Linked DNA regions of Elephas maximus indicus. The protein of the gene in region 3 purifies or fractionates together with the protein of the main gene of each other region. This does not show direct contact. Links are inferred from orthologs where the notes say so. Each region holds a gene or a part of one and is shown on either strand. Other genes may lie near its edges.

The links.
Region 1: the proteins of PPP1CC (region 3) and PLCL2 purify together in Homo sapiens (affinity purification with mass spectrometry; 3 studies listed by BioGRID and IntAct, counting the BioPlex papers as one, with this or other methods). This does not show direct contact. The link is inferred for Elephas maximus indicus from reciprocal best matches to the Homo sapiens genes PPP1CC and PLCL2.
Region 2: the proteins of PPP1CC (region 3) and ADISSP purify together in Homo sapiens (affinity purification with mass spectrometry; 5 studies listed by BioGRID and IntAct, counting the BioPlex papers as one, with this or other methods). This does not show direct contact. The link is inferred for Elephas maximus indicus from reciprocal best matches to the Homo sapiens genes PPP1CC and ADISSP.
Region 4: the proteins of PPP1CC (region 3) and PPP1R9A purify together in Homo sapiens (affinity purification with mass spectrometry; 6 studies listed by BioGRID and IntAct, counting the BioPlex papers as one, with this or other methods). This does not show direct contact. The link is inferred for Elephas maximus indicus from reciprocal best matches to the Homo sapiens genes PPP1CC and PPP1R9A.

Annotation. Positions count from the first base shown.
Region 1 is NC_064845.1:23,278,388-23,286,731, forward strand, and holds the start of PLCL2 (inactive phospholipase C-like protein 2), read right to left. Parts: upstream 3,291-8,344; 5' UTR 3,198-3,290; intron 3,129-3,197; exon of another isoform or gene 2,783-3,128; intron 2,726-2,782; coding exon of another isoform or gene 2,468-2,725; 5' UTR 2,431-2,467; coding exon of another isoform or gene 2,323-2,430; coding exon 1,993-2,322; intron 1-1,992. Other genes in the region: atherin-like, read left to right, coding at 2,321-2,430, 2,468-2,725, 8,047-8,161. UniProt on the Homo sapiens protein: May play an role in the regulation of Ins(1,4,5)P3 around the endoplasmic reticulum.
Region 2 is NC_064843.1:42,367,921-42,375,711, forward strand, and holds the start of ADISSP (UPF0687 protein C20orf27 homolog), read right to left. Parts: upstream 3,256-7,791; 5' UTR 3,031-3,255; intron 321-3,030; exon of another isoform or gene 1-320. UniProt on the Homo sapiens protein: Adipocyte-secreted protein (adipokine) that acts as a key regulator for white adipose tissue (WAT) thermogenesis and glucose homeostasis at least in part through activation of protein kinase A (PKA).
Region 3 is NC_064840.1:9,270,468-9,278,050, reverse strand, and holds the start of PPP1CC (serine/threonine-protein phosphatase PP1-gamma catalytic subunit), read left to right. Parts: upstream 1-4,146; 5' UTR 4,147-4,364; coding exon 4,365-4,419; intron 4,420-7,583. UniProt on the Homo sapiens protein: Protein phosphatase that associates with over 200 regulatory proteins to form highly specific holoenzymes which dephosphorylate hundreds of biological targets.
Region 4 is NC_064826.1:64,809,297-64,817,074, reverse strand, and holds the start of PPP1R9A (neurabin-1), read right to left. Parts: upstream 3,507-7,778; 5' UTR 3,364-3,506; intron 3,110-3,363; exon of another isoform or gene 3,045-3,109; intron 2,982-3,044; exon of another isoform or gene 2,914-2,981; intron 2,670-2,913; 5' UTR 2,463-2,669; intron 1,169-2,462; 5' UTR 956-1,168; coding exon 1-955. UniProt on the Homo sapiens protein: Binds to actin filaments (F-actin) and shows cross-linking activity. Binds along the sides of the F-actin. May be involved in neurite formation. Inhibits protein phosphatase 1-alpha activity.

The DNA.
Region 1 (8,344 bases), on a different chromosome or scaffold from region 3:
CGTCAAGTCAATTGCAACTCATAGCGACCCTAAAGGACAGAGTAGAGCTGCGCCACAGGGTTTCCAAGGAGCACCTGGTGGATTCGAACTGCCAACCTTTTGGTTAGCAGCCATAGCTCTTAACCACTACACCACCAGGGTTTCCTTGCCTCCATTAGGAGGAAAGAAAGTGAGAAAATAACTGTCAAAGTTTCAGAATTCCATAAAAGTATCAACGTCATTTCTAAAACCAGTGATTTCTGAACAATTAACCATGTTCCCATGTTCTTCCAGCGCACTCAATGAAGAAATATCTCCTAAATTCTCAATTCCCTATATCAGAAATACTGATACATCACCCTCTTTCTACTCTCCCATGAATGTAATTAAAACAGATGCTGATTGTAACTAAATAAGTTACACTATGAATCCCACTATAGACACCAACGAAGTTTACATTTTAAATGCAAATAATAAACCCTAAAAAAAAAAAAATTGGAGGAGGTGGTTAAAATCGGTAGGCTGGTATCTTCTCTGGAACTCTGATGTCAAAGTTCATTAACTCAACACCACAAAGCAAAATTATGACAAATATTTGGTAACCAACAAAAGCAATGACATGTAACTCTGTCAGTGGTATTGATTACTATGCACAGTTGAAAGCAACTTTCACGGAAACGTAAGCCACAGAGCGAAAGAAAATATAAGTCACTAAAAGCTACGTATGCAGCAAAAACACATTTTACTTTCCTTAGCTTAACTCTAAACATGTGCTGCACGCAGTTAAAACACTTGATCTTTAAGTCCTTCATTTGTGCCCTTGCCCAGACATAAACTGTGCAAACAGATGACATGGCGAAAGGCAGTTTCACAACTGTGTTACATAGAGTGTATCAAGGTGGTATATTTCACTAGACGATTGAAGAAGTTGCTAACATCATCAGACATTTTTACAGTACTTGGGAGATTTCTTACAGATCCAATTAAATTCCACATACCACCAGTGTCAACTCTCTTCACTGTGGCACGTTCTGTCTTCTCTCCCACCAGCTATCAGCCACAGGAAGTCTGGTTGCAGCCCTGTCAATGTGCTTTACTGCTCACGTCCTAGTAACCCCTTGATTTTGAGAAAGCCACATTTTCATATTTACTCCAAACTTGCAGAATGAGCTAGTCTTGCCTCAGGCTTTGCTCTTCCTAGCTCATCAACTTTTTTTTCACTTTCTGTCACAAGAAATATTTTTACATTGCGACCAAAGGGCAATATTAGAAGGAAACCACAACAAACTGAGGAGTTTCAAATATTACTTCTTGAGTTTAAAATGCACAAAACAAGCGCTGGCTTTCTTCTGCTAAATAACACGGTGCAAAAGATAAGAAACCCGAGCAAACTGCCCAAAAGAACTTCCACAGAAGAACTGGAGGCCTGCCTACTGCAGTAAGGAAAAGATTAAAGCGTGTAGTACTGTAATCTCTCAGGGCTTTTGAGCCCAAGAAGACAGAAATCTGCATTTATGCTCAGAAACCTACTTCATTTCTCCATATGACTGAATGACTATATAGATTGTGTACCCTCCAAATATAACCATTTGCAAGAGACAACTACATACACAAATCAGAAGAAACCTATTAAATAATCTCTGTTCACCTCTTGGAATTTTTAAGAAAATGTTTCCACGTAATCCTCAACTGTCCTTGAAATACACAGGGTGTCTTTTACCAACACAGGCTACCGGAGACAGAGCATACCCTGCCCAGGCAGGTACAGGTCATAATTCCAGGCCAATTCTGCAAGAGGTGACAGCCTCAAGTTTAACTGGGGATGCCTGCACACAGCTCCCGCTGCACCTTGGGGATCACCTCTCCATTCTTTCCAAATGCCATTTGCATCCAACCCGTGTTCCTGTTAGCAGTGGGCTCCCCCTACATCTCCCTCCTTACACTCCCTTCCCCCGTGGAAACAGACCCCGAGGCCGGCTGGGGGTGGGCTATCAGCGCCCTTCTTCCACCTACCTTGATGATGCTGCTCCGGCGGGGCAGGCCGCCCGGCTTGCTCTCCCGGGGGAGGGGACCAGCGGCCGGACTGGGAGTCAGGGCGAGCGCAGCTCCCCGGGGTCCCCTGGCGGGGCTGGCTTGGGCTTCGTCCCCGGACACGCCGAGGCTGCAGTCTCCGTTGGAAACCCCGCCGCTGTCATAGCGCGCCCGCCCCTGGCCGAGGCGACCTCCCCCGCCGCCACCGCCTTCCCCGGCTGCGGCTTTCAGGGAGCCCTTGGCACCGAGGGCCGGGCTCGGGGAGGTGGGCAGGGCCCCGCCGGCGGTGCCCCCCCGGCCGCACTCCGCCATGGGCGCCCCGCGACCCGCCAGCACAAAGCCGCGTCCCCGCGTCCCCGCCGCCGCCTCGGGCCGCCGCGCGGCCCCTCCTCCTCTCCTCCTCCCGCCGCCGCCGCCTCGGCTGCTTCTTCCGCTTTTTTTTTTTTTTTTAATTTAGATGTGATGTTTGTTTCGAGCTCGCCTCGCGCACGGTTAAAGTCGTGGCGACAGAATTATCAGAAGATTCCTGCAGGGGAGAGAAGAGAGAGACCCGAGTCAGCGCCCGCGGCGGCGGAGCCGGGCTCCCGGCACCTGGGGAAGGAAAACACGCCCCGACACACGCGCCGCCGCGGGCGCCAAAAATAACCCGCGCGGCCCGGCGCCCACCCCGGGGTAAAGGAGCTCCCAGCCCAAGGGCGCGAGGTTCCACCCCGAGGTAACACGCGCTCTCCCAGGGGCGCAGGGCACCCGCCCCGGGCTCGGGGGCACCCACCGAGCGGGAACGGGGCACCCTCCCTGGGGGCTCGGGCACCCACTCGGCGGACCAGGACGCCCACTTGGGGCGCAGGGCCAAGGGGAAACGGCGGACGCTCCAACGCTGTCCGGCCACACGGAGGCGCCTCCCGAGGGTCACGCGGCCCCGGGCGGACCCCAACTCCTGAGGCCGCCGCGTGCCGGGCCCCTCGGTGCTCTCCGCCCCAGCCCCGGGACCTGCCGAGACCCGCGGCGCGGGGAGGAAGCGCGCGGCGGCCAGGGGCGGCTCGGCGGTCCCAGACCCGGGTGCGGCCCGAGGGGCAGCTCCCCGAGGGGGGACTGCGGACCCACCCGGCCCGCGGCCATCTCCGCCCGCGCTCGGCGCTGCCCCCTACAGGCCGCGGGGACCCTCCCGCCTCCTTCCCCCGACCCACCGCCGCCGCCGGGCTCCTGCTCGAGGTCGCCGCCGTCGCGGCTGCTCTCGCCGCGGCCGGGTCATCGGGCCAAGGCGACCTCGCTGCCGAGGGACGGCGACGGGCGGCGGCCGCGAGTTCTTAATACCCTCCGCCCCTCCGGTGGATCTGCCGCAACTGCCAATCACCCGCCCGGGGCCCCGAGGCGCAACGACCGCACAGGCCACGGGGCCTGGAGCGCAGCTCCGGCCTCGGGGGCTCAGCCGCTGCGCCTCCCGCTTCTCCCCGCCATCCAGACGAAAACCAAGCCCATTGCCGTCGAGTCGACTCCGTCCGACTCACAGCGTCCCAAGCAGTTCAGGAAAATGCTATCCGGAAGACCCCTCATTGGGCTTCCCCAGCCGGGCAGACCCATCTCACGTATTAAAACCAATCCCGTTTCCTTGGGCTCCTGAACTGTGAATTGATCCAACTAGTTGCAAAGATGCTGGGGGCGGCGGGAGTGAGGGGTGAGAAGCAGAGGATATAGGCAGAGCGTATCCTGTGCTCTTAGGCACCCCTCACTGATTTCCGCCATCCCTCCCAGCCCGCTGCCTAATCTCGCCCCCAGTGACGCCAGGTGGTCCAGTCCCCTGCGGGCCCCGCCCTGGGTCAGGCTCATCTTTGGGGGTAACGCCTCAGCCGGTTCCTTTGGTCCCCCCTAACAGGCTTCAGGGAAACACTGGTGGCTAGTTGTTAAGTGCTACAGCTGCTAACCGAAGGGTCGGCAGTTCGAATCCGCCAGGCGCTCCTTGGAAACTCTATGGGGAAATTCTACTCTGTCCTATAGGGTCGCTATGAATCGGAATCAACTCCTCAGCACTGGGTCCGCCTAAAACAACCCTGATCACGTCGTTCCCCTGAACAAAAACCTCCCTCGCACCTGACAGGGCCTGAGGCCCCACCCTGCCTAGCCCCACCCACCTCTCCATCCCAGGCTCCCTGGGCTCCAGCTTCACACCCTTCTGTCGCACCCTACACTTCGATCCAACTTGTGTTCCCTTTTCGGGAAATACACTCCTGCAGGACGCAAAGGAGAAGCTGATCCCATCTGCTGGGGGGATGAACTTGAAGACCTTGTTATTAGCATGATGTGTAGCAAACTGCCAAGTAGTCTTGGAGGAAACCTGTTTTACGTTCATATACATACCTACTCTTGCCCTAGAAAGCATCCAACACCTTCCCGTTATTCTTGGGGGCGTTTTAATTCTTCTGATCCTCTGGATTCATGTTTTTGTTACCCTCGATTGAGCTTCTATCCATCTCTTGCCAACCTGGGCCTACACTAACAAATATTTTCCCATCGATGGGCAACAATGTCTTCTTCTTTTATTCAGTTCCATCTCTTTGCTACCTTTCTTTTCTAGTTTTGTTTTAAAAATAGTAGTGTTTTCTGTCTTGTGATAGTTTTGCAAAAAAATAGATCCAAATAATTCAAATTAGATTCTTAATCTGCTTTATCTGATTTAAAAGCATAATGGTAAGTTTGCTATGGGGGAAGGAAAGAATGCTGGAGCCTTTATTCTTCAAGTTCTCTAACTTTGATATTTTGAGTAAATGCCTGGAGGTATTTCTGCCCTTTCTGCATTCGTATCTAATTTTTCTCCACACATTGACCAATCCCTAGTATAATGCTAGGAGAGCCATTTAGTTTACAAGGATGGCAATGGGTTTCCTGGGGTGAGTGGGGGCATATTGAGGTTTAAAACTCCAGGATGCTTTTTCTAAAGCCACCATTTCATTCCCTAATGCCCTCCAAAATGAGCACCTATCCATCTCACTCTGCACTCCCAACAGGTCAAACCAGGGAGACTTCGTTGAAATAGACGTGGCATTTAAATTAAAATGTTTCCCCAAGCATCTTGGCAGACCTGTAACTAATGATGCCAGAAGCCCAAGGCCTGTGCCAGGTTTCTTTTTATCCCCGTAAGTGCTTGTCTCCCACAAGCCGCTGGTCACACGCTTGCTGTACTTCTTCATCACACAAACAGCCAAACTGTAGGCACTGTTTCTTCGATACGGGGATGGGAAGCAGCGTGTTCCTCTGACACAGGCAATTTTCAGCTCCCAACTGGCTTTTTAATAGCTAAACTCAGATTTTTTTTTTCCATCATGAACAGCAGAGTAAGCAATTGTTTCTCCTCCTTCCTGCTTGTCCTCTGCAGTTACTAAGTGATTGCTTGCCATTTCTCCTATTCCATGAGCAATGTTATTGAAGAAATTGTAAATATTTTGCCAGAATTCTTGCTGAAGTGTTTTCATAGCATTTTAAAATTCATAGAAATTAGAGTTGGAAAAAGAGCCAAAACATCATAGTCATTCTTCAGCAAATTCTAATAGTTCTTTCAGACTAACTCTCAGAGCAGAGCAATAAGATATAGACAAAAACCAAAAACGTATTAATAAAATGCTCAATCTGGGTAACACCATGATGCCTGGGCCAATTTATTTCTTATATCCATATACTAATGGTTGGGTTCTGATGAATAATTTTTCATAATTTTAAAAGTCAATAAAAAGTCTTTAAAATTTTACATCCATATCATACCAGCAGTATATAGTTTTAACTCTTTTCAACTTTTCCTCATATTTCAATGAGTCTCAGCTTTTAATCATTGTCACTCTTCACCAAACTGTCTTCAGTTTGTCTACCTCTTTAAGTAGATGTCTAAAACTTGAGCTGTTCAAGCTGCTGGGCCATAAAATCCTCCCTTCGGCCTCCCAAAATAACACTGACGCTGTTGGCTGACTTCTTGCTGCCATTCATACTCTTGTAGGTTATGGATTCCTATCTAGTTTCCAGTTCGCAGGCTCTAACATTACAACTGTCCGGATTTTTCTGACTCACTGCACACTTGGCCTTCAGATTATTTTCTCCCTCGATGTATTATGACAGTTTTCATTTCCCAAACTTCGATCTCATTTGATTTCCTGTTGTTCTCTAAAGACGCTGTTCAATATCTGAGCCTTCTTATTCGATGGCTCTCCACATGCTTAATGTGAGAGCTAACTTGAGCAGAAAGCGGGAGACCAAACTGCTGCAAGGAGATAGCAGATTCTGTCAATGTGCTGGTCCACACTGGAGTCCCATTTGCTTCCTGAGTCAATCCAAGATGTTGATTTTAAACTATTATGCTCCTATGGTTTGCATTATGTTTATTTTATCATGACACTCAATATGAAGGGATGTATAGAAATTGCCTTTCTCCCAGGGCAAGAGTGTGGCAAGTTAGACCTGCCAAAAACATTCACTTCCATCTTCTTCCTCTCTTCTGACAATAAAGATCCTTTACCCATTTTCCTTGGAGCTGTCTTCTACCAAAGGAGCCCTGGTGTTGCAGTGGTTAAAGCACTCAGCTGCTAACTGGAAAGTCAGTGATTCGAACCCACCAGTAGCTCTGCAGAGAAAATTTGGCTATCTACTTCCACAAAGATTACAGCCTTAGAAACCCTATGGGGGCAGTTCTACTCTGTCCTGTAGGGTCCTATGAGTCAGAATCAACTCGGGTTTGGTTGCGAACAAGTTAGGCACTCAGGGAATTACAGTGCCACCCAGCCACTGAAGAACAACTGTGTGAATTCATTAAATCATTCTCTGTGGCTGTTGAGTTACGTAGCACTGTGAGGGAATCTATGTATTAGCAGGGATTTCATAAGATTATTCTATCAGCAAAAATAAAACAGCATAGATTAATATGATTCACTCCAAAAATTACTGTTGCTTATCACAACACTTTATAAATTCTCTCTCATGTATTTGACTGCATTTCTACTATTATTTTATTACCGGAGCCACTGCAAAAACTCAAATGCCTGTGGGAGCCAGGCAGGTGATGTAATGAGTGAAGCTGCATGGGTTTGTTCCCTAATAGCATCAAAATTTGTAATTTTTCAACATTGATATACTTTGTATATCAAATATAGAGGATTACCCTTCCCAATTCATCCTTGGTTTTCCAGCTTTTATAGAGGCATGGATATAAGAAATATCTCACTTACCTCTTAACTCCAAGAAATATGGTAGGAGCATAATGATAAATAGCAACCGGACACTTAGCCAGTTGGGGGCTGGGGACAGCAGTATGGACAATGGGGACTCAGGTAACCTGATGAGGAATCTTCGTGTTCCATGAGGGAATCTTGGCTCAATGCTGCCAGAATCATCTTACTTTTCAAGACAAGCCAAAAATCTGGAATATGAAACTTGCTATTGTGTTGGCTAATTGTTTTAAGAGAGAAATGTCCATAAAATGACGTCTCTACATATTGTTCTTTATAATGTCTTCAGGGAGAGCTATTTTTTTTTCAGTTTCTCATGAATGTCATCAGAATTTTCTATCAACTTTTCAGCCATATTCCTGTGATTTTTTTTTTTTTGCTCCCAACTCACGTTTCCTTTATCCACCTATTCCCACATCCAAACCCCAGAACTGTTTCATCTCTGAAAGCTTACACTAAAACCCACCCACTGCCGTCGAGTCGATTCCGACTCATAGCGACCCTATAGGACAGAGTAGAACTGCCCCATAGAGTTTCCAAGGAGCGCCTGGCAGATCTGAACTGCCCACTTCTTGGTTAGCAGCCATAGCACTTAACCACTACTCCACTTTACACTAAGAAACCCATTTTCAGCCCCAAACTCTGTCCTTTTATCAAACCCATTCCCTTACTTCCCCTAAACACACCTGCTAATCTTAGCAAGACCTTTACTTCCTCCACCTGCTTCTATTCTCTCAATTTATCAGCACTCTTGTCTATACTTTTTTCCCAGACTGGGCCTCATGGCTAAGACTTTCAACCACATTCTCACCAGCATGTCCTTGTCCTTCAGGTGTGCCCACCTTGACAATCTACAGCTTTCCATAAATCCAGCTATGGGCTTTCTCCATACCTGCTCTCTGACTACCACTCTGCTGGAAAAGAAAAATATCACAGAGCCAACCTGACCTGAACCATTCAAATGTATGATTTCTTCAACAACAAAAAGATAAAAACCCAACTAAAAACGGGCAAAGAACTTGAATGGACATTTCTCCAAATAAAATACACAAATGGCCCATAAGTGAAAAGATGTTCAATATTATTAGTCATTAAGGAAATGCAAATGGAACCTCAATGTGATGCCACTT
Region 2 (7,791 bases), on a different chromosome or scaffold from region 3:
CATGGCTGTGACCTTTCAGAAGCAGATCACCAGGTCTTTCTTCCGAGGCATCTCTGGCAGGTTTGAACTGCCAACCTTTCAGTTAGTAGTCGAGGACTTAACCACTTGTGCCACCCAGGGACTCCAGAAGGCTAGAGGACCAACCTCCTTCCACAGCAAAGGGCCTTGCCAATCACTGGCCCCTTGTCCACACACAATTCCTCGTTATAAGCTGGAATAGAGGGGGTGGGCCTCTCCCTGCTACGGTCTTGTCCAGGGAACTACTAGGCCCCAAGCGAGCCCAAGGCTGGCCCTACCTCCAGCCTCCTCCTGTGTCAGCCCAATCCTCAGCTTGCCCCAAGTGGCACAGTCCTTCCCACCTCCCACCCGTCCCACCCCCAGGCAATAGGGAGATGATCAGGAGCGTGGGCTCCAGAGCCCAGCAGTCCTGGTTCAAATTCAGGCTCTGGCCCTTGCTGGCCACGTGACTGGGGGCAAATAACTTCAATTCTCTGACCTTGGTTTCCTCATCTGTAACACAGGAATAAGCGGCAGCCTCTCCCTCACAGGGCTCAGTGAACACTAACCCACAGGGTGCGGCAAGTAGAGCTGCTGCCTGAAGCTCTGTAACGACACGTTCCCCCAGCGTGTCCCCCCACCTCTGTGAAAGCAAACCCCAAAGGCTGGTTTCTGAAGCAACAACAACTTCAGGAAGGCACTGGCAGAGGTGCTTCAGGCTCTTCCCGCAACAGCCAGGAAGGGCCCTCAGGGTAGGCTCCAGGGACTTCAGCCTTCTCAGAAAACAGCCCAAGGATTGAAAAGACCTCCCTCCTCCTTCTCTCCTCCTGCCCTCCCTACTCCTGGCAACCAGGCCCCCAGCAGGGCCAGAGAGAAGGCTGCTTGGAGCCCCTGTTCCTCCCAACCAGAGGATCCAGGTGCCATCCGGACTGGGTCTCCACCCTCTGTCCTGATCACAAGGAAGATGTGGAGAATGTGCATCCTAGGAAATGCCACCAGGGAGGAACATGGTGCCCCCCTCAAAAAATAAAAAAAATGACAACTGCCCCTGCCTTTGATGGGCTATCAACAGGTCAAGGGTAGGACCCTAAACAGTCATAGATAGGAAGGGCTGGAAAGTTGGGACAAGGACCTTAAGGGCTTCTGTTGCTCTCAGTTGCTCTCAGGGAAAATGGGGAGAACTCCCCTCTGGGGGACAGAGAGCTTTAGAAATAAAGGCTAGTTCCAGGCTACTCGGCCCAGGCAGCACTCAGCCAGGCCCAGGGGAGCGTCTGGCCTGAGGAACAGGCTCACAGGCACCGCAAGTGGGCAGACAGATGGACGGTCACACAGGAACCCAGAGTTCTCAGCACCCTAGACTCCAGCCCTGGAGGGCGCTAGTTGCTACTGCAGGTGTCCAGTGCTGGGCCCAAGGCTGCGGACTGGAGGAAGGGCTAAAGCAACAACAGTCTATCCACAGCAAAGCAGAGCTCAGGAAGCCGCCGCTCACCCCTATAGCTGTACTCCCCACACCACCTGCCCCAGAGACAGCTCTCAAATCCAAGGCATCGTGGGGCAACCCAGATTGTTCTCCCCACCATTGTGTGGTCGGGCTATGCCCCCAACCTCTCAAGGCCTTGCTCCTCATTTATTCCTCAATCTCCATTCTCAGCCTGTTCCAAGGACTTTGGGCCAGGAACTCTATAACCTCCCACCCTTCTCACCTCTCCCTTCCCCTCCCAACCTCAAACACTCAGTCCAGCAGAAGCCCCATCCAGCCTCCCATTAAATCTCAGGCCTATAAAGGGATCGCTGCCCATGGAGGACTTGAGACAGGGTCACAGTGACCTCCTGACTCCCAGGATCTGATACAGGACTGGGCACACAACAGGGTCCCTGTATACCTAGAACAAGGCCTGGAAAGGCAAGGCTGGAGGTCAGGTGTAGTTGTGAAGGCTTCACATAAACTCAGTCTTGATGCGACCTCATTTTCCCTTTCCTCCAGATAAGCCAAGGGTGCAAAGCTAAGTATGGGTGTTCTCTCTCTCACAAAAGGTGGGGTGCGGGGGGGGGGATGTTGAACTGGGGAAAGGATCTCCCCATCCCACACCCTCCTGTCTCCCCAAGAAGCGCTGCCATCCTCTGTACAGCATCCTTCCATCTCCTCATAAACACACCCCCAGCTAGAGGGTGCTTAGGTTCCCCTAGCCTCCAGACTGCCTGCCCCTCCCAGGCCCCTCCCTGGGCCTGTGGTCCTGGGGACCCAAGTAGAGGCCAGGCCAGGGGTCAGGGGAAGGGGGAAACAGCTGCCTCTGACCTTCCTCAGCCCCTGGGGCAGAGAAACACCCTTCCTGATTCCCCAGTGCCAAGATTCAAGAGGAAAGGAACCTAAAGCCTATCTTCTCCGTCCAGCAGAACCCCTGCTCAACTAACCGCAACACAGGTTCGAATCCCTTCTGGTGCATGACACAGGGAGCCGGCAGTGGCACCAGGAGCCGGCAGTGGCACCAGGAGCCCCGGACGTAGGACCCTGTATCCTCGCCTCTCCCGCCGCCATCCTGGTGGGTGTGGCGCTCCCATTCAGCCCCATTATCATCTTCTCGCAGACAGAATCGCTGGACGTCCTCTCATTATACCCCTGCGAGGCAGAGGTTCTGTCCCTCAGAGATAACCTGGGGCGCTTCCCACCTTCACCTCGGCTGACGCAGGAGTCTTGGGAGCTCCCGTCCCCCGATATCACCGCTCCCCTTCCCAGGGGTGCCGAGACCGCGGAGGCTCAGAGTTACTACTCGTCCAAGGTCACACAAAGAGGCGGTGGCAGTGGCGGGGGGGTGTCGGGGCTGACCCCATTACGCCCCTGCCCTCACTGTGACACCCCTGCCCCCAACAGCGCCCCGCGGAGAACACCCTTGCCCCACCAACTAACGGTCACCCACGTCTCCGGGTTCTGTCATCTCCCCACCTCAGGGGCCCGGGAAGCTCTCCAGAGCCCGGCCCCCCCAATGGAGCCCCCCGCCCCAGTCCCTCCCCGACAGCCGACGGGGTCCCCAGTACCTTCTGCCTAGGACGGGGCCGGGACCGGGAGGGGATCTAGGCGAGCGAGGCGGAACCGGCAGGCGGCAGAGGAAGGTCAGTCTCGCCAAGCGGGGCACACCCCGGGGCTGGGCTGGGCCAGGACTACAGCCGCAGCGACGGTGGCAGCAGCGGCGGCGGCAGCAGCGGCGGCGGCAACAGCGGCGGCAGCGGCGGGGGCCCAGCGCAGAGCACTAGCAGACAGCCCGCGCCGCGCCGCCCGCCTCACCGGCACGCCTCCGCCTACGCCCATTGGTCGGTCCGAGGGGCTGGGCGAGAGCCTCTGCCGACCAATGAGCAGGCGCCAGAGAACCGCCAACAGGCGATATGCCGCCAGAGTCACGTGCCGGAGGCGCCGCGACTGCGCTTTGCGAGTCCGAGCCAACCAAGGCCCGGCGAGTTCTCGCGATGAAGACAGCCGGGCCGTCCTGACCAGGCCTGGTGCCCGGAGGGGCAGAAGGAAAGGGAGGTGGGAGGAGCCTCCTGGTAGGCCCCGCCCCCGCCCCACCTCCGGCGGTGCAGCTTGCACCTCCTGCCTTGGCCTCCACCTGGGAGGTGCCCTCCGTGGACCCTGTACCCTCGGGCGGCAGTCGGACAAAGCTTGGGCCGAAATGCTAGGTTCAGAGGCAGGTCACCTTTCTCCCTAGGCTCCCACGCCCTCCTCGGCAACTGATACGGGCATCACTAGGTCCTGTCCCAAAAGGCCCTGAAAAACCAAAACCCGGCGCCGTCGAGTCGATTCCGACTCATAGCGATCATATTGGACAGAGTAGAACTGCCCCTAGAGTTTCCAAAGAGCACCTGGTGGATTCCAACTGCCAACCCTTTGTTTAGCAGTCGTAGCACTTAACCACTACACCACCAGGGTTTCCTCCAGGCCCTGAGGAACCCTCCATTCTTCCCCCTGTGACCCTCGGCCTCTTCCTCCTCCACCCCATACACCTGCCTCGGAGGAGGCGCTCCTGCTTGGACCTGACACAAGTCCTCGGAGCCCCGCCCGGCCCGGAATAAGCTTCAGAACAAAGAAAGCACGTGGGGGTGGGGGTTGGAAGAGACTGTGCAGGCGCCCCCGGGGACCTCAGCCTCTGCTCTCAATCTCCATGGAGGCAGTCGCCATGGCAGCGAGATGCGCCTAGCTCGGCGCCGTGGGGTGGGATGTGGGCGCCTCCACCGCGCGAGGGAACGAGAGGCGTGGTTCTCGGATCTTCAGGGGTCCCAACAGCAGCCCCACCTGCCCATCCGTGAGCCCACCCCTCCACCCCGCCCTCCGGTTCCGCCTGCGGTAGACAGGTTCCCAAGTGCCCGCGGGGAGCTGCGCAAAGCTTGGGGCTCCCCTTCCAACGTGACTAGGGGGGAGATGGCTTGGGCGGCTGGGGGCCCCGCTTCCTTTCAGTAGGGCCGGGATTGCGGCCTTTGGAGAGCCCTCAAGGCTTCCACCCTCTGGATCTCTGGCTCGCTGCGGCCCCTAATCTATATCCCAATCTCCGGCCTGCATGCAGTTGGCAAATTAATCTTCCTGAGCTATTGTTTCCACCGCCACCCTCCCCGGCTCCAAACAGTCCCCCGACTGTCTCTAGCTAGCAGAGCTTCGCAAACTTTTTAGCAGCACCTTGGGTAAATCGTGCGCACTCTGGCGTTTGAGATGTGGGCATCCAGCGCCGCCGACACTGGGAGCTTTCCACGGCCTGATCCCAAGTGACCTACTCCTGCCAGAGGCTTTTGCCCTCTTACACCCCTGTCGCATGGGCCCTGCTGTGCTCCCCAACTGTATTCCCATCTCTATTCTTTTCTTCAGAAACCGTGGTGGTGTAGTGATTAAGAGCTACAGCTGCCAACCAAAAGGTCAGCAGTTCGAATCCACCAGGAGCTCGTTGGAAACTATGGGGCAGTTCTACTTTGTCCTGTAGGGTCGCTATGAGTCAGAATTGACTCAATGGCAAAGGGTTTTTATTCTTTTCCTCAAGTCCTAAAGTTGGTAGACAGTGGGCCCAAAGTAGCCTGCAGATTTTGTTAAGCCTACCTGGAGCTTTTTTTTTTTTTTGGATTCCAGATTTCTAGGCTTCTTTGGAAATACCAGATTTAGCAACACAGGTTCACTTTCTGCCCTTGCACCAAACTCTGGCCCTGAGTGGTAGGGCCACTCCAATTTATTATATAACAAAACTGATTACCCGCCGTGTCTAATCCAACTCATGGCAACTCCGTGTGTATCGGAGTAGAACTGTGCTCCAGAGAATTTTCAATGACTGTGACCTTTCAGAAACATCACCAGGCCTTTCTTCCAAGGTACCTCTGGGTGGTTTGAACGGCCAGCCTTTAAGCTAATAACCCAGTTCTTAACAGTTTGTACCACCTTAAAAAAAAAAAAAAAAGCCCACTGCCATGGAGTCAATTCAGACTCACAGTGACCCTATGGGCCCCCAATTTACTGTATAGTCTCTACCACTCCCTGTTTCCTCACCTTTGTTTTTCCTTCCAGGTCTGTGCAGGCATTTCACTTTGTGATCCTGCCCTCCTCCTTTTACTACCCTCCCACCTGGAATGCCCTTCCCACTCTCCTTTCATACACAAAACACCCTTCCTTCAAATCCAGGTTAACGCCTACCTTTTTTTTTTTTTTTTTATGAAGTCTTTCTCCTCACAACCATCTTTGGTGTGGGCTGTGGAAAACACACAGACTAGCAGCCTGGGGCTATTTCCTTACTGGCAATTCCTTGTAACAAATATTTACTGTGTGTATATGGTAAGCAAGCAACTGTACTAGGCTCTGTGGAGTTGAAAGCACTCACAGCTTCGTGTGGGAGGCACACCCCACAAAAACAGCCGTGGTATTCTCCCTTCCAAGTACTCTTCATACTGCTAAGTGGTGGGCAGTCTGGTTCACTGGCCAACTGGAAGGACCTGCAATACTGAGTTCCCCATGCCTGGGGATACTACAGGCTCCCAGGGAAGTCCCCAGAGCCACAGTGGGTACGGATAGTTCTGGAAAGTCTCCAGAGGAAGAAAGAAAAGGAAGGAAATGACCTCTTTGTGCAGGGTCTAATGTACATGGTTGCCCCACTGCTGCCCAATGGGCCTGTGTACCCAGAAGAGGGTGTGTCAACATCAACGTGATGCTGAGGCCCTGGGACTTCCTGTGCAAAGGGCCTTACTAGAGGGAAGCCCTAGGCCTCTGCCAGGCTTCCTTGAGATGGGGGCAGTATGGTAAGGAATTAGGAACACTCCGAGTTAGGAGAGTAAGTTGAGCACATACAGGACATCTTCCCCAGCTGTAAACGCATGGTATTCTGGATTCTATTACTTTTAATAATAAAAAACAACTATGACCACTTTGGAAAACTGTTTGGCAGTGCCTAATAAAGCTGATAAATACCAATCCTATGACCCAGCAATTCCACTCTTAAGTATACAGCAAGACACATGTATACAGGTATTTATGGCAGTGCTATTGTAATAGCCCTAAACTGGAAATTACCCAAATATCCATCAACAATAGAAAATAAATAAATTGTGCTCTATTCATACTTGGAACCCTGGTGGTGCAGTGGTGAAGAGCACGGCTTCTAACCAAAAGGTTGGCAGTTCGAATCCACCAGCTAGCCTCTCTTTAGAAACCCTATGGGGCAGTTCTATTTGGTCCTATAAGGTTGCTATGAGTCAGAATCAACTTGACAGCAATGGGGTTGTTTGTTTGTTTTAATCCATACAAAGGTATTGTTATGGATTGAATTGTGTCCCCCCAAAATAAATTTTGGAATCCTAACCCCTATACCTGTGGTTGTAATCCCATTTGGGAATAGAGTTTTCTTATCAGTGTAGGGTGTATCTGAAATCTAACCATTTCTGAGACACGAATAGAGCAGATTAGGCACAGAGAAGTAAGCACAAATGAAGGGGAAGGTAGGTGTCACATGGAAATTGCCAGGGAACCAAGGAATGCAGGGGCTGCAGAAACAGAAAGAGATATTGCCCCGGAGACAACAGAGAGAGAGCCTTTCCCTAGAGTCAGTGTCCCAAATTCAGACTTCTAGCCTCCTAAACTGTGAGAAAATACATTTCTCTTCATTGAGCCACTCACTTCTGGTATTTCTGTCGTAGTAGCACTGGCTAAGACAGGTATGTTATACAATAGTAACAAATAACAATCTACTGAATACATACAACAACATAGATGACTTCTGTAGATATAATATCAAGCAAAAGAAGTCCAACACAAAAATAATATATACTGTATTGTACATTCTAGCACGTGTCTTTAAGTGAATGTGTGTGCATTTATCTTGAGTAGAGTGAACTACATTTCCCAGAATTCCCTTTAATGTATGTTTTTTATTTAGGACGGATCACAAGAGACATTCTTGAATGAGATTTGGAGAGTAGAAGAAAAGCAGTGGCATATTGTTTTTTACACTTGGAAGGTTGGGGCAGAAGCTTTGTGGCCCAGGCATATTGTTACTGGTGAGCTGGCTAACCTCATTGACTTGGGGTAGTAGCTGGGCCTTCAACTACTCCACCTGATTCCTGAGCCAGATATGTGTTTAGCTCTATGATGAAGGCTTCCAGCTTCTCCTGTAGGACACCTACACCACCAAGGTTGGAGTCAGTGAGACCCAACATGGGTTCCAGTTTGTCCTCCAGAGGTTTGGCTTATGCTCATGGATTCAAACTTGTCCTCTCTTCCCACAAATTTATATCCATCCGCCCTTGTCAATTGTGGACTTTAAGCTCCAGCATCAGATGCAA
Region 3 (7,583 bases):
TGGTTCCCCACTTGGTACAGAGCCTTCCGGATAACCAGATAGGTCCAGACGTGCTGGCGAACCTCATCGTCAGCACTTCTTTCAATCATTTAATGATAATCCTTAGTGCTCACCAAATTGGGGGGGAATGGAAGGAAAAGAGTTCACCCCAATCTTCTAGATGGGAATTCAAATTTTCGCCCAGGGACCCAATGTAGCCCACAGACATGCTTTGTCTGCTGCAGACTGTGTCTTAGAAGAATTTGAATTCTTGACCAAATTTTAAAGATTGAAACATTTTACATAAAAATCCAAATTCTCCTGAAAAATCTGAGGATCTGGCCACACTGGGCCCATGTTCCCATTTGGCTCCAACAAACTGGAGCTGGGAAGTGGCCACCCCTTTAGATGGGATGTGGGTTCCCCAGTTCACTGCAGTCTCTACCCAGCCAGCTAGATCCCCCTCAAAGCCTAAGGATGGCTTACAGATATAATTGGTTTTCAAATCTCTTATTTTAAATTACTTCAAATGTTACACGAAAGCTCAATGTATTAAACAGATAACAGTGATAATGTTGTTCGGGTTCGTTGTGAGTAGCCATGGAGTCAGCTCCAACTCAAGGCAACCCCACGGACAACAGAAGGAAACATCGCTCAGTCCTGTGCCATCTTCACAATTGTTGGTATGCTCCAGTCCATTGTTGTGGCCACTGTGTGTTCTGAGTGCCTTCTAACCTCGGACGGCTCATCCTGCAGCATTATATCAGACAGTATTCTATTGTGATCCGTAGGGTTTCATCAGCTAATTTTCAGAAGCAGATTGTCAGGTCTTTTCTCCTAGTCTGTCTTAGTCTGGAATTTCCTTGAAACCTGTCCACCCTGTGTAGCCCTGCTGGTATTTGAAATGCAGGTGGCATAGCTTCCAGCATCGTAGCAACTCACAAGCCACCAAAGTACAACAAACTGACAGATGCGTGGTAGTAATAGTAATAATAAAGCCCATTGCCGTCAAGTCGACTCAGACTCATAGTGACCCTGTAGGACAGAGTAGAAGCACCTTATAGGGTTTCCAAGGCTGTAACCTCTATAGAGGAAACCCTGGTGGTATAGTGGTTAAGTGCTATAGCTGCTAACCAAAGAGTCCACAGTTCAAATCTACCAGGTGCTCCTTGGAAACTCTATGAGGCAGTTCTACTCTGTCCTATAGGGTCACTATGAGTTGGAATTGACTTGACTGCAATGGGTTTCATTTTTGTTTCTTTTTTTTAATCTTTATGGAAGCAGACTGCCACATCTTTCTGCTGTAGAGCGGCTGGCTAGTGGGTTCAAACTGTCAACCTTTTTGGTTAGCAGCCGCTGCTTAACAACTGCACTACCAGACCTCCTTTAATAGTAATAATAAACAAAAAAAATCAAACCCATTTCCAACTCATTAGCGAATCTATGAGTCATCGCTATGGTTCCAACTCATAGCGACCCTATAGCACAGAATAGAACTGCCACATAGGGTTTCCAAGGAGCGGCAGCTGGTGAGTTCAAACTTCTGATCTTTTGCTTAGCAGCCAAGTTCTCAACCACTGCGCCGCCAGGGTTCCAATAGTAGTGATAGTTAATATCAATTTAGCAGTTACTGTGTGCTGTGGCTCTGCTTTGGTTGACTTGAGAGGGCCAGGGACTAGAATCCTGTCAGCTCCCCATTTTCCTCAGCAGGAAGTTCATTTGAAAGAAATAAATTTTAATCTACTCTCCTCATTTTGCAGATAAGCAAACAGGCCTGGAAAGAGGAAGGGACACTCCATCCATTAGGCAATAGACTTTCTGGCAAATTCTTGCATCAGCAAGGGGGTGTGATGGGGTGGGAGGTGGAGGGTCGGGATGGGGGAAGAGTTCATCCCATTATCCACTAGGATTGATCTTGGTAGCAAAGACCAACAGGGAATCAGTTCTTTCCTCCATGAACTGCGGTTCCCAGGAGCTGCTCAGACCTTCCCCTTGAGCTCAGGCCACTCTCAGGCTTGGAGCCAGCTAATTCCCTCAGGCATGTGCCAGCGAAACTGGGCTCTGGAGGGAGTTGCCCACGCGGAGAATGGCGTGTGGATAGAGGCCCTCCCAGCGTCCCAGCCCAGTCTGAAGTTCTCCTACAACCACGTGATGTCGACAGAGACTAACACACCTGCCACTTTGCATATGGAAACTTCCAGCAGTCTTCTTGTGGCTCAATGCATCTTTATATCATTCCATTGGGTTCTCTATCTGTGAAGGGGCTGCTGTGTGCCAGAATCGTGCTAGGTGCTCGGGATTCACTGAATATGAACAAGGGCTTTGGTTTCAGGATGTCCCACCCTGACTCCGTAACTTACTAGCTGTGTGACCTTCAGCAACTGACCTAGTCCTCTGTGCCTTACTTCATCTGTAAAATGCGGATGATAGGAATGGTACACAATTCCTAGAACTGGCTTGGGGATTCAATGAGATGTTTTGGCACGTACTAAAAAACATGAGCGCAGTGTTTGTGCTTTTCCCCACTGCACTTATCAGAAGCTGGTATTTTTATTTGCGTCTCTGTTTATTGTCTGTCTGGCTAACTAGATGATGTTCCATGAGAGAGGGACCTTGTCTGTCTTGCTCACCCTTGCTTCTCGGCCCAGAACAATGCCTGGCACAGAGTAGGTGCTCCATAAATATTTGGCTGCCCAATGAATTGCCGTCTTTCAGATTCCTGCGCTCATTGCCATTGCGATGACGCGCCTTGCCCTGGAGCAGCCCAAGGTCTCGTGGACTCCGGCGTGAGCCACCCAGCCCTCACCAACCAGCTGTTCACAGCAGTGCTGGGCACCGACTTCGAATGTCACCAGTTGGGCTCAGTGCCCTGGACTGACAAGGGACACTAGTATGACTTGCGGCGGACACAGTCACAGCACGGGAGAATGAGCTGGCGATTCCGGACAGCCAGGAGAGCCCCACACTCCAACCCCCCGGCGACAGTAGTGGGTGGGGGGGCGCCCAGGTGCATGAAGCCAGGGCCCCCAGGAGCGCACCGCTTCCGAAGATGGCTGCCCAGGTGGCGCCATCACCGCGAGGGCATTTGGGGATGGGAATTCCTGCATCCTGCGTCCCTTGAGAAATCAAATTAATTTCTCGGAGGAGGGGAAGGGCTTTCCAAACTGTAAAGCGTTGCAGGGAAAAAGAGATGTGCGGAAAGGTCAGGAAAGAGAATGTTTGCTGAGTGTGGGCTGCACTTCAAAATCCAACTAAAAGCCATGCGCAGCCCCCGGAGGTGCCACCATCTCTAGCCCCCACGGAGAGGGATGCACCTTGGAGCTGTTGGGAAGCGGGAGGGGAGTGGCCCGAAGTTTCACTGGGGATCTGTAGAACCCGGCCCCAGCCCGCACTGCCGGCCTCTGCAAACTTCTCTTCCGGCCTCAGCTCCGACGCGCGAAATCTGCAAACTCTCCCTTTATCTCCTGTGCACGCGCTCTTTCAACTTCGCTCTGGCTAGAATCAGGGTAGCCGTTCCGATGATTATGTAATTGCCGAGTGCAGGAAAGATAATCTAAAGACAGGGATGATGGATTTTTTTGTGTGTGTGTGTGTAGATTTTTAAACATCTTTTTTTTTTAATGTAAGTGTCACAAAAGTGCGCAGAGAAATAATATACAACACCCATATTTCCCACCGCTTAGAATGAATAATTGTTAACATTTTCTGAAGGCAAAATAAATCAACATACATCTCTTTATTATCCTCCCTCTCCACCCCCATCCCCACACCAGATTTATTTTAAAGCATAAATTCCAGAACCGCATAAAATCCGTTGCTGGACATCCACGTGGCCAAGTCTACAAACACGTGGCCCCAACGAACACAACCCTGCGGAAGCCGCAAAGCTCGGAGCGCACACGTGTGTTCCGCGCCCCCTCTCCTCGCAACCCCAACTCCCGCGTGCAACTTTGCAACTCACGCTCGGGCCGGGGGGCCTATTTGGTCGACCCGTTTGGCGGAAGGATCTGCGTGAGGGCCCAGTCACTCTCAACGGTCTCCTCCCCCTTCCCGCGCTCTGGCCACGCCCCCTTCCGCGCCCGGGCCCGCCCCCTCCCGCGCGCCCTATGGCCCATAAAGAAGTCCCGGTCGGGCCGCTGCACTCCCCCGCGCGCATCCGTGCGCCGCCCGAGGTTGGCTGAGGAGTCGGCGGCCATTTTGTTCTTCTCGTGGTTCCAGTGGGGAGAGAAGGAGGAAGCAGGGAGCGGGGCGGCTGGGGGGACCCGCCGCGGCTGCTGCCACCGCCGCCACCACTGCCTCTGTGCTCGTGGCGTGGGGAAGGAGTGCGAGTCCCGGGCGCGAGCCGGCGGCGGCGCCGCTGCGGGAGGGTCGGCGGTGGGAAGGCGATGGCGGATATAGACAAACTCAACATCGACAGCATCATCCAACGGCTACTGGAAGGTGAGAGGGACGGCGGGCGGCTGAGGGGAGGCGAGCGCTGGGGCTGTGGGCAGCCAGGGGCGCTCGCGGGAGGAGAGTTGGGGGGCCGGTTGGGCTTGCAGCACTGGGGGAGCGAACCCGCGAGTTGGCCGGCGGGCCGGGGGCTGCAGCTGGAGGGAGGCCGGGCCGGGATCCCGAACTTGGCTCAACCCGCGGCCCCGCTCATTCATTGCACGAGGTTGCAGTCTTTTTCTTGGCCTGAAATTTGAAAACTTCGCATCGCACCCCCACGTTTCCCGCCCCTGCCCCTTGAGCCCCGCAAAGTGGACCAGTCTTTGCAGGAGAGAAGGTCGGGGGCTCCAATCCAACCTGCAGGACGGCGGGTTCCGGACTTTAATCCGGCCAGGATCGAGTTTCTGGTACTTTTCTTCTCAAAAAGCAATTTGATGGGGTTGGGTTCCACCAGCTTTGGGGGCTTTTTCCTATCTTGCTTTATTTTTATCAGTTCCCCTGCTCCTCAAGTGTTTTAAGTTGTTCTTATGCTGAAGAGATCTCCGCGCTCTTTTCCTGAGCAGGAAAGCAGCGAGGGTGACAGTATCGTTAACATCTTTTCAAACGTGCCAGGTTTTAAGCGCTGTGTTAAGTGCTTTGCGTCCATCAAATTACAATAATAGCGCACACTTCTAAAGCGCTTACTATACGTCAGGCATTCTATGAGCACTTTACACAGATTTCACTTAATTGTCCCCACAACCCTGCCAGGTGGGTGCTATTTTTTTAATTTTTTCCCCCGTTTTACAGAAGAAACTAAGGCACAGAGAAGTGAAGTCACTTCTTCAAGGTCACACAGCTAGTAAGTGACAGGCTTCAAAGCCAGGATCCAGAACTCGCTACATTCAGCTGTCACCCTATAGATGACCCTGTGTGCAAAGGAAAACGGAAGGTGATGTCCCATGAATAAACTAAGGTTAAAACAAAACTTTAATTTAACCTAAGGTTTGAGGTGCGTGGTAATGACTCCTATTGATAGGGAGAGGGATGAGGTTCAGATTTTAAAGGGAAAGCTGAAATTGCTCTGCCACCTTCGGGTTCGGAAGCATGTCCAGTAATACAAATATCTCATCCCAGACTTGGGAAGAATTCAGCCACATAATTTCCTTTTTTGATCTGGGCACAGGGTATTGTTGTCAGTTTGGCTGAGTTGTAACTGCTTTTTGCTTGATACTGCTGTCCTCAAATAGGGTTGAATTTGCATGCACAGAGTGCATGCTAGAGCACGAACAACTGGGCAAAGTGGGTTTTGCAGATCTTTTGAAGTCATTAAAATGAAATGCCTGAGAAAATCTTTTCCTATTCTTAATCAGTGCCTTTCATTTTTCTTCTGTTCTACAGTATTTTGTAGCTTTCTTAAAAGAAAACTCATTTCACGACCCCTGAAATGCTCTTGAAATGTCACCACCATTTGTGGGTGAAAACCTTGTCATTCATTCAGTGCTTATAAGAACCAGAGACTAAAAGATCAAATACTTTTCATGTTATTTAGTACAGTTCTTTGATTGATATGAAGCAGTAGTTGGTCGTTTTGGCAGTGAAAAACGAACGTTTTGTTAAATATTTTTATTTCAGTTTTTAAAATTAACTTCTGCACATCTGTGCAGGGGTGTATGGCTATATTAGAATGGCTTTATGGTGGCACAGTGGTTAAATGATTGACTGCTAACCAAAAGGTAGCTACTAACCAAAAGGTCGGCAGTTCGAATCTACCAGCCACTCCTTGGAAATCCTATGGGACAGTTCCGCTCTGTCCTGTAGGGTCGCTGTGAGTCGGAATATACTACTCTCTGGCAGTGGTTTTTTTGGGGGGGGGGGTATTTCTCAGAGAAAAACCGAAAAAATTAGAATCCACATGGATTAGAATTTTAAGATAATTTAAATCTTGAAGTTCTGGTTTGCCTGTAACACTATTCACCTAACAGATTTTGGTAATTTTAATCTTAAAAAGGAAGAAAATTGTGCTAAGAAATTTACCTTCATAAAATGGGCCCATCTAAAATGAGATCAGTCATCGTTTCTTAATTCCTAGGTTTTTTCCAATGAAAACGAAGAAAACAGAACATTTTAATGCCTGAGGAATAGGCTAGCTGCCCAGTATTCTTAGATTTCTTTCTTGTGGGTGTTAAGATGGTAGAGAAACTGCGCAAGATAATTCATCGAGGATACGCATACATCCCAGTTGGGAGACGTTGATAATAAATTTGGTAGTGTTTGTAATACATATTTCAAAAGCCTTTTTCCCTAAAACTTTTAGTTAATATTTCAGTATATGTGAAAATGAGTTTTGTGGCCTTGTGAGACTTCTTTACATGTTCAGAATTATCTGATATTTAAGGTCCAGGACTGTGCAGCTTAGCTTAGAAGTAACAAAGGGGAACTCAAAAGTGAAGTCCTGTTTAAGAAAACTTGGTGTTGATTTATACCTTGGTCCTTACGGCTTTGCCGTTGTCTGACTGTGAACTTGGAGTAGTTTTTCCTGAAGCTGGGCATCACTTTTGCAACCCACCTGGGAAGGTAGAAGCTTTTATCTGAGCTCTGCCTTGCTGATGACAAAACCTTGAAGTGGTTGTTCCTTAGTATAAATGATGCTCACTTTTTACAGAACTACGTAGTAAAAGCGTGCATGGGGAAATTAGAGACAAAAGCAATCAGCTGTTGATTTGGTGTGATAGTCTATGTGTTAGAGAAAAGACCGAGTTGTGGCACAGTTGTGCTTTGTGAACGACCTCACTCAAGGAGCAGTGATGGTCAGCGCTTTTCTTGCATAGCAGCCGGCTGTGACTGATTCCACAACCTGGTTTGCTTTAAAAATGGCCATTGTCGGACTTGAAGTTCCTCTGGCCAGGCTCTGTGTAATTGCCTGCCTTACTTTAGTGATTTAAGTATGACCTCTGCCCTGGCTCATGGAAAGTTTATTAATTTAAATCTGATTTGTGAGGGTTTCTTTGAAGATGGTGAGTGTTCAGATATTGTGAAACTCAAAGATGTTTGAATGTCCTTGATGTAATATGAAACGTTCATATGTTAAAAAGGCAGAGAGGTCCCTGGTCCTGAAGATAACAAAGGACAAACATAATGGCAAAAGAGAACATTCTTAAAGCAGTCACCAAAGGAAGAAAACAGAATCTTCC
Region 4 (7,778 bases), on a different chromosome or scaffold from region 3:
CTTTGTCAATTCTGTCAGGAGCCTCTTGGTTAGATACTGCGTCCTCGGTTTCCTTGCTCTGCTGTATCCCTCCACTAGGCATTGAAACTAGAGTACCTTTAGAGGCCACTTCCGGTGCTGAAGTTGTATTGCTCTTCTGAGCATCCTCTGCATCAGCACCTCGTTTGTTTGAGGGAGGCCAAGAATTAGAATCCTTAAGGTGTCCAAAAGTGTCAAGATTTGTAACAGTAGATGGCAAATTCAGTGGATAATGCCCAGTCACTGAGTATTCCTCATTGTTTTCAGCCTTCTCTGAAATGATGGCACTGGGAGAATCAGAGTTCTCAAATACTGCACTCAGTTGACTCACAGTTGGAGAGACAGCCTCTGTCCGAGAGCTAAGACTGTCCAAGGAATCAGTACTGCCTCTATTGGACTTGGACCCACCCCACTCATCCTGAGGTTCACTACCTCCAGCTTTCTCCTCTTTCTTTGGGGAATAGCGGTTGTTTTGTCCTGATTCATGCACACTTCTCTCAAACATTTTCCGAGTTTCTGTGAACTTAGAATATGAAGGGCCATCGTACATTGTGTCAAATCTACTAATTCGTTCTGAAACAGAGGACTCCAACTTAACAACTGAGCCATCTGTTTTCTCCAGAAATTCTCTGGGCTTCATTCTTCTCTGAGGAGATGAAGGTCTACCTTTCCCCCTGGTTTTGGCAATGACTGCTGCATTCTCATTGGGTTCCATACCCATCTGCATAAATAAGTTTTTAATTCTATTGACATTGGAGCCATATTTCCTCCCCCTGCTCTGCTGAGAGCCCTCACCCTCTTTTGTTTTTTGCTCCCCATCTGACTTGGGTTTGTCAAAGGTGCTTTTCAGCGCCTGGAACTCAGTTCTATATGCATTCCTGTGAGGAGAGGCACTTCTGAGAGTGGTTCGTTCACCGGAAGACTCAGTTTTCAACATTTTTACTTCAGAAGTGAAAAGCCAATGTTCATAATGATCAAAAAAAGAAAAATATAAAACCACTCTCTTCTCTAATCATCAGTATTTGGCCAAGAAAAAGTATCTCTCAAATGGCACACTCAGTCAGTGATCCTCCCAACAGGTGTATTAGGGAATTATTCACAGGCAACAGTAACACAAAATGGCTTTTTCAAAGCAAGACTAGAAGTTCATCTGTAACAGAAAAGAATGAATTTCTGAATTCATTTATTTATTTGAATGTTTTTTAGTCCATTAATATATACTTTATTTTAAAAGTGGCTTGCCATATTTCAAACAAAACAAATTACTTATTGAAATGGAAAGTTAAAAAGTCAAGAAGATAAAAGTTGTAATTCTGTCCGGTCTTGGTAACAAAAATGTTTCAAACACAACCTGGAGCTCCCTAACAAAATCACACATACACACACACACGCACACAGAGGCACACACACACAGAGGCATGCACGCATACAAATTAAACAAAGTACACTTGAAAGCAATACTTTAGCTCCAGTTTTGGTTGTTTTTGTTAATGTCCTTAAAATAAAGCAGTTCAGATATCCTTAAGAAGTCATCAAACTGTCCATAAAATCAATTTCATTTGGGATTATCCAAAATCAGGTAGAATTTATTGTTTGATTACAATTAAAAGTTTGGAATCACTGTTTACAAACTCTTACCATGCTTGCTTCACTCTTTCTGGTCTCATATTCTCATCTATAACATCTCCAAAGCAACACTAGCACAATTTCAGACCAAAACATGCAGAAGAAAGTTTTAAAATATCAGTAAGTTTCACTCTAACTTTGGTTATATCAAATATTTGGAAGTTTTGGAAGGAGATGGAGAAAATCATGGGGATAAATGTATGAGAAAGTGACAACCAGAAAGCAAACACACCATGAAACCTCTCCTCATAGCCTTGATTTGTTTATTCCTTCTTGTCTCTGACTTACAAACTCAAAATTCAATGCATGCTTGCTGGTCTCCTCTAACCCACAGCTGGATTTTATATTAATATGCCAGAAATCAAATACTCCAAAATCTGCTAAAGAGCAGACAACAGAGTTTCTAGATTTTTTATTTTGTTTTGCTGTTGTTGTTGTCTGGGTTTGTTCTTTTTTTTTTTTTTTTTAATTAGACTGAGCCACATCACCTTAACACACAATCAGCTGAAGAAGCACACACTTTCACTTAAATCCTCTCCAAACTCAGTTCCTGGCCCAGTACACATGCATGGCCCATGCAGACAAACAAGAAGGGCTTTAGAGTGTGGTGCCTGTATTTTTCTTTTTTTTTTAAAGCATAGACAATCTCCTTTTACCCTTACATTTTTTTTAAGCCACAACACCCTCCCCTCCCCCCTACACCCCACTCCCTCCCCCGCCAATTCCAACCCGAGGGGGCGGGGGCGGGGGCGATAGGGCCGACGGGGGATTCAAAACCTGCCCTCACAAAAAAGAAGACAAACATAAATAACACCAACTTGAGAGGCAGCAGATTCCCAAGCCTGTTTCGGGACGCAATCCCTCGGCCCCGGGGCAGGGCCGGGAGAGCAGGTGACGCCAAGCGCTTTGGTAGGAGGTCGCAGTCAAGCTTTGTGCCAAGAAGCACCTGAAGTCCTAACACATTGGCTGCGGCTCCCGGCGGCTGCCAGGCGGATCCCAGTGTGGCACAGGGAAAGCCGAGCTCCCTGGCCACGTTAAAAAAAAAAAAAAATTACTGAGTAATGATAATAAATCCCTTTGTTTTTCCTCCCAACGTGCCAGGAAACAATAGATCCCACTGATAATGCCTCGGATCCTCAACCTACGGCTCCCCAACCACAGCCCACCCCCACCCGCAGCCTGCAACTCAGCCTTTGTACATCCCCGATTTTTTTCCTCCTCATCTCCACCCTCCCCAACTCCTCGCCCCGCGCACAGCCTCCCCCTTACCCGAGCGGGAGCCGCCGCAGGCGGGGAGGGTCGGGCCGCCGCGGCTCCCACCCCTCCCTATAGGCGCCCCCCCACCCCACGGTGGCCGCGGCTCGGCTACGCGCCGTCCTGCTCGCTGCCCCGCCACCCACCCGGCTCCTCACGGCGCAGGGAGGAGGGCGGCTGCGGCGGCCGCTGCCAGTCGCGCTTCGGCCCCCACGCGCGCCCTGCCCGTGGCGGGCGGCCCGGGGTGGCGCGCTGCGCTCCCCAACGCCATTGCGGGCGAGCGGGCGGCGGCCCGGGCACGGACGCGCTCGCACACTCGGGTGGCCGGGGTGGGGGTGCGGCCGGGGAAGGGGCTTCGGCCACGTGCGGTCACCCGCGGCGGACCGTTTGGCGGCCCGGGGAGGCCGGGGTGTAATGGAGGGAGGCCTCGTGGGTGAGGAAGGCCCGGGGTAACAGGTGCCTCACCTCGGCTGATGGAATTAACTCTAGGGCCGCAGAGAGAGGGAGCCCGGCAGCAAAATCCCAGGAGAGGGAGAGAGAGGGAGCCTCTGGCGGCCAACGAAGGGCGAAAAGCACGGAGCGGCCCGAGGCGAGGCCGCCCCACCCCCTCGGCCGGCAGCAGGCTAGGGGCCTCTGGGGCCTGGGACAGGCCTGCTCTTCTGGGGCCTGTCCGGTCTCCCGCACTGGTGCAGTTTTGGAGCTTCACGCTGCCGGAACCCGAGTTTGTCTGGAGTGTGTAGTTAACTCCATAACCCTAGGGCATGCAAAACTCCAGGTCACTATTCTGGGCCAAAACCTAGGCCATTTGGCGTCCCAGGCCTCCAACTAGGCCGCTGTGTCCTTAACCTTAGGCCCCAATGATAAAAGGAAAGGGACGAGAGTGTCTTCTCACTTTATTGTCATAAGGTGTGTTTTTCAACCCAGCCACGCTTTTATAAATGCTCAACATCCCCTGCACAAACACAAAATACCGGCAGTGTTATACCTTACTACAAAATATAAAACTGATTATAACTGTCAATATAAAGTTTTCAACCAATCCTCCTAAAAACTCTTATAAAGAAAAAGTTCTTTATTGTTGTTAGCTCCCCTCAGTTGCCCTGATTCATGGTGACCCCATTCACAAGGGATCAGACCATGGTGATCCATAGAGTTTTCATTGGTTCATTTTTTGGAAGTAGATTATCAGGCCTTTCTTTCTACTCTGTCTCAGTGTGGAAACTCCAGCTGAAACCTCACCATAGCAATACACAAGCCTCCACTGGCAGACAATCGTAACTGTGCCTTAGGTACATCGGTGGGGAATTGGCCTGGGTCTCCTGCAGGAAAAGTGATCATTATGCTACTGAACCACCATTGTCTTGTACTCAAAAATTTTACTAGATTCTTTAATTAGAGGAGGGAACCACTGAGATATTGCAATCCATTCAAATTAGAATCTGAAGAACACGCAAAAGCAAAACTGGTTAATATATTGTTGTTAGTTGCCTTCAGTTGGCTCTGACTAATGGCAACTGTTTGTATAGCAGAACAAAACATTGCCTGGTTCTGTGCCATCTTCATGATTGTTGGTACATGTGAGTCCATTGTTGCGGCCATTGTGTAGTGGCTTCCAACCTAAGGGAGTTATCTTCCAGCACTATATTGGACAATATTCTGCTGTCATCCATAAGGAGTTTCCCACTGTCTAATGTTCAAAAGTATATCACCAGGCCTTCCTTCATAGTCTGTCTTAGTCCGGAAGCTCCTCTGAGACTTATCCACTGTGGGTAACCCTGCTCGTATTTGAAATACCAATGGCATGGCTTACAGCATCATAGCAACATGCAAGCCACCACAGCATGACAAACTGACAGACAAGGGATGGAATATTCTACAGGGCACTAAAATGAAATGTTTGGAGTTATCTCTTCTAATGGAAGCCCTGGTGGTGTAGTGGTTAAGTGCTACCGCTGCTAACCAAAGAGGCTGGCGGTTCAAATCCACGAGGTGCTCCTTGGAAACTCTGTGGGGCAGTTCTACTCTATCTTATAGCGTCTCTATGAGTCGGAATTGACTTGAGGGCAGTGGGTTTGGTTTTTTGAAATGGGACAAAACTTAATTGTATCCCTCAAGGACAAACTAAATTTATATTTCTACAGATAAAAGTCATTTGTGTTACCATAAGTTTCTACAACTGACTTAGCTGCATAAGCAAAGTCAGTCAAAGATGCAGGCTACTACAGAATCAGATAAAACTCCGGAAGATCGTGTAGATAAAAGGATTTCTTCCACTAATCCTTTGCCCATTTCAGTCTTTCACAAGTCTTTTCAACAGAACTAATATTATCTGTATTTACAGTTGGGAAACCGAGGCTTGGGTTTAGTAACTTACCCTCAACTTTATCAGCTAGTGGAGCCATGGTGGCACAGTGGTTAAAGGCCTTGGCTGTTGAGTCGCTAACCAAAAGGTTGGCAGTTCAAAGCTACCAGCCGCTCCTCAGGAGAAAAATTCTGCTTGTGTAAAGATTACAGCCTTGGCCTATAAACCAATACCAAACCTGTTGCCATCGAGTTGATTCCGAGTCATAGCAACCCTATAGGATAGAGTAGAACTGCCCCGTAGGGCTTCCAATGAGCGGCTGGTGGATTTGAACTGCCAGCATTTTGGTTAGCAGCCATAGTTCTCCATAGTTATTAACCGCTGCGCCACCGGGGCTCCTGGAAACCCTCTGGGGCAGCTCTACTCTGTCCTACAGGGTCTCTATATGTCGTAATTGACTCGATGGCAATGGGTTTGGTTTGGGTTTGGGTTTATTACCTAGTAAATGGTTATGGCTTGGTATGAACCCAGGCAACTCTGTACACAGAATCTATACTCTGGGAATAAAATCCTTCTCCCTTAAATTCAGAAGGACTTGTAACTACCCAATTCTATATATCTTTTAATTTGAAGAATAAGTTTTTTTGTTTGTTTGTTTTTTGTTCTTTTCCCCAAGCCTCACCAAATTCTGGGGCCCTTCCCAAGAAATTGGCATTTTCTGTCCAGGTAGTAGATGTCACATCTATAAGTATAAACAGATGTAACAGGCAATGTGAGGGGGCTGTGGTTCCAGTCTCCACTTTTGGAAGGAGCATTTGTGCTGTCTGGGATAATTTAGTGGAAAAGTTCCTGTCATTTAGTTGCAGTATGGAAACCAGATTTTTTAGGAGAATAAGTTAAATAAATGCAGAACCCCATCACTGAGTTCTGTCTGTAGAAGAGGGGGCAGAGCTGGCAATAAAATCAGTCTTACACCTCTTTGCAATAAGATGATTCATACAGAAAAGCAGCCTAAAGAACTTGGTTGAATTTGGGGTTTATTTTTTGAAAATGTGAAACTTCTAGAAAAACATATACTGAAAGAATGAATGACAGTGTTTTTAAAACAACATTGATAATTTAAGACACTCAGATTGTCCATAATCTACCTCCCACTTCTAACACTTAGCTGATTGTTTGAAGATACGTGCTATCTCATACATGTGGCTATTTAAATTTAAATTTTGTTGTTGTTGTTGTCAGATGCCATCGAGTCTGTTCCTATTCATAGTGACCCTATGTACAATGGAACGAAACATTGTCCAGTCCTGTGCCATCCTCACAATCATTATTATGCTTAAGCCCATTGTTGCAGCCACCGTGTCAATCCATCTCACTCAGGGCCTTCCTCTATTTCACTGACCCTGTACTTTACCAAGCTTGATGTCCTTCTACAGAGACTGCCCTTCTAATAACATGTCCAAAGTATGTAAGATGTAGTCTCACCATCCTTCCTTTTAAAGAACACTCTGGCTGTTCATCTTCCAAGACAGATTTGTTGGTTCTTTTGGCTGTCCATTGGTATATTCAATATTCATATTGGTATATTCATATTCAATATTCTTCACCAATACCATAATTCAAAGGCATGAATTCTTCTTCAGTCTTCCTTATTCTTTTTCTAGCTTTCACATGCATATGAGGCCACTGAAAACACAATGGCTTGAGTCAGGCGCACCTTAGTTTTCAAGGTAACATCTTTGCTTATTAACACTTCAAAGTGGTCTTTTGCAGCAGATTTGCCCAAGGCAATACATCTTTTAATTTCCTGACTGCTGCTTCTGTGGGTGTTGATTGTGGATCCAAGTAAAATGAAATTCTTGACACCTTCAATCTTTTCCCTGTTTATCATGATGTCGCTTAGTGGTCCACTTGTGAGAATTTTTGTTTTCTTTATGTTGAGGTGAAAGCCATACTGAAGACTGTGGTCTTTGATCATCATCAACAAGTGCTTCAAGTCTTCTTCACTTTCAGCAAGCAAGGCTGTGTCATCTGCATAACACAGGTTGTTAATGAGTCCTCTTCCAGTCCTGATGCCTCCTTTTTCTTCATATAGTCCAGCTTCTCAGATTATTTCCTCAGCATGCAGATTGAATAGGTATGGTGAAAGGAAACAATCCTGGCACACACTCTTCCTGACTTTAAACCTCAAAGTATCCCCTTGTTCTGTTTGAACGACTACCTCTTGATCTATGTACAAGTTCCTCATGAGCACAATTAAGTGTTCTGGAATTCCCATTCTTTGCAATGTTATCCATAATTTGTTATAATCCACACAGTCGAGTGCCTTTGCACAGTCAATAAAACACAAGTAAACATCTTTCTAGTATTCTCTGCTTTCAGCCAGGATCCATCTAACCCTGATTGCATATCCTCTTCTGAATCCAGCTTGAATTTCTGGCAGCTCCCTGTCAATATACTGCTGCAGCTGCTTTTGAGTAATCTCCAGCAAAATTTTACTTGCCTGTGATATTAATGGTATTGTTTAATAATTCCCACCTTCGGTGGGATCACCGTTCTTGGAAATAGGCATAAATAT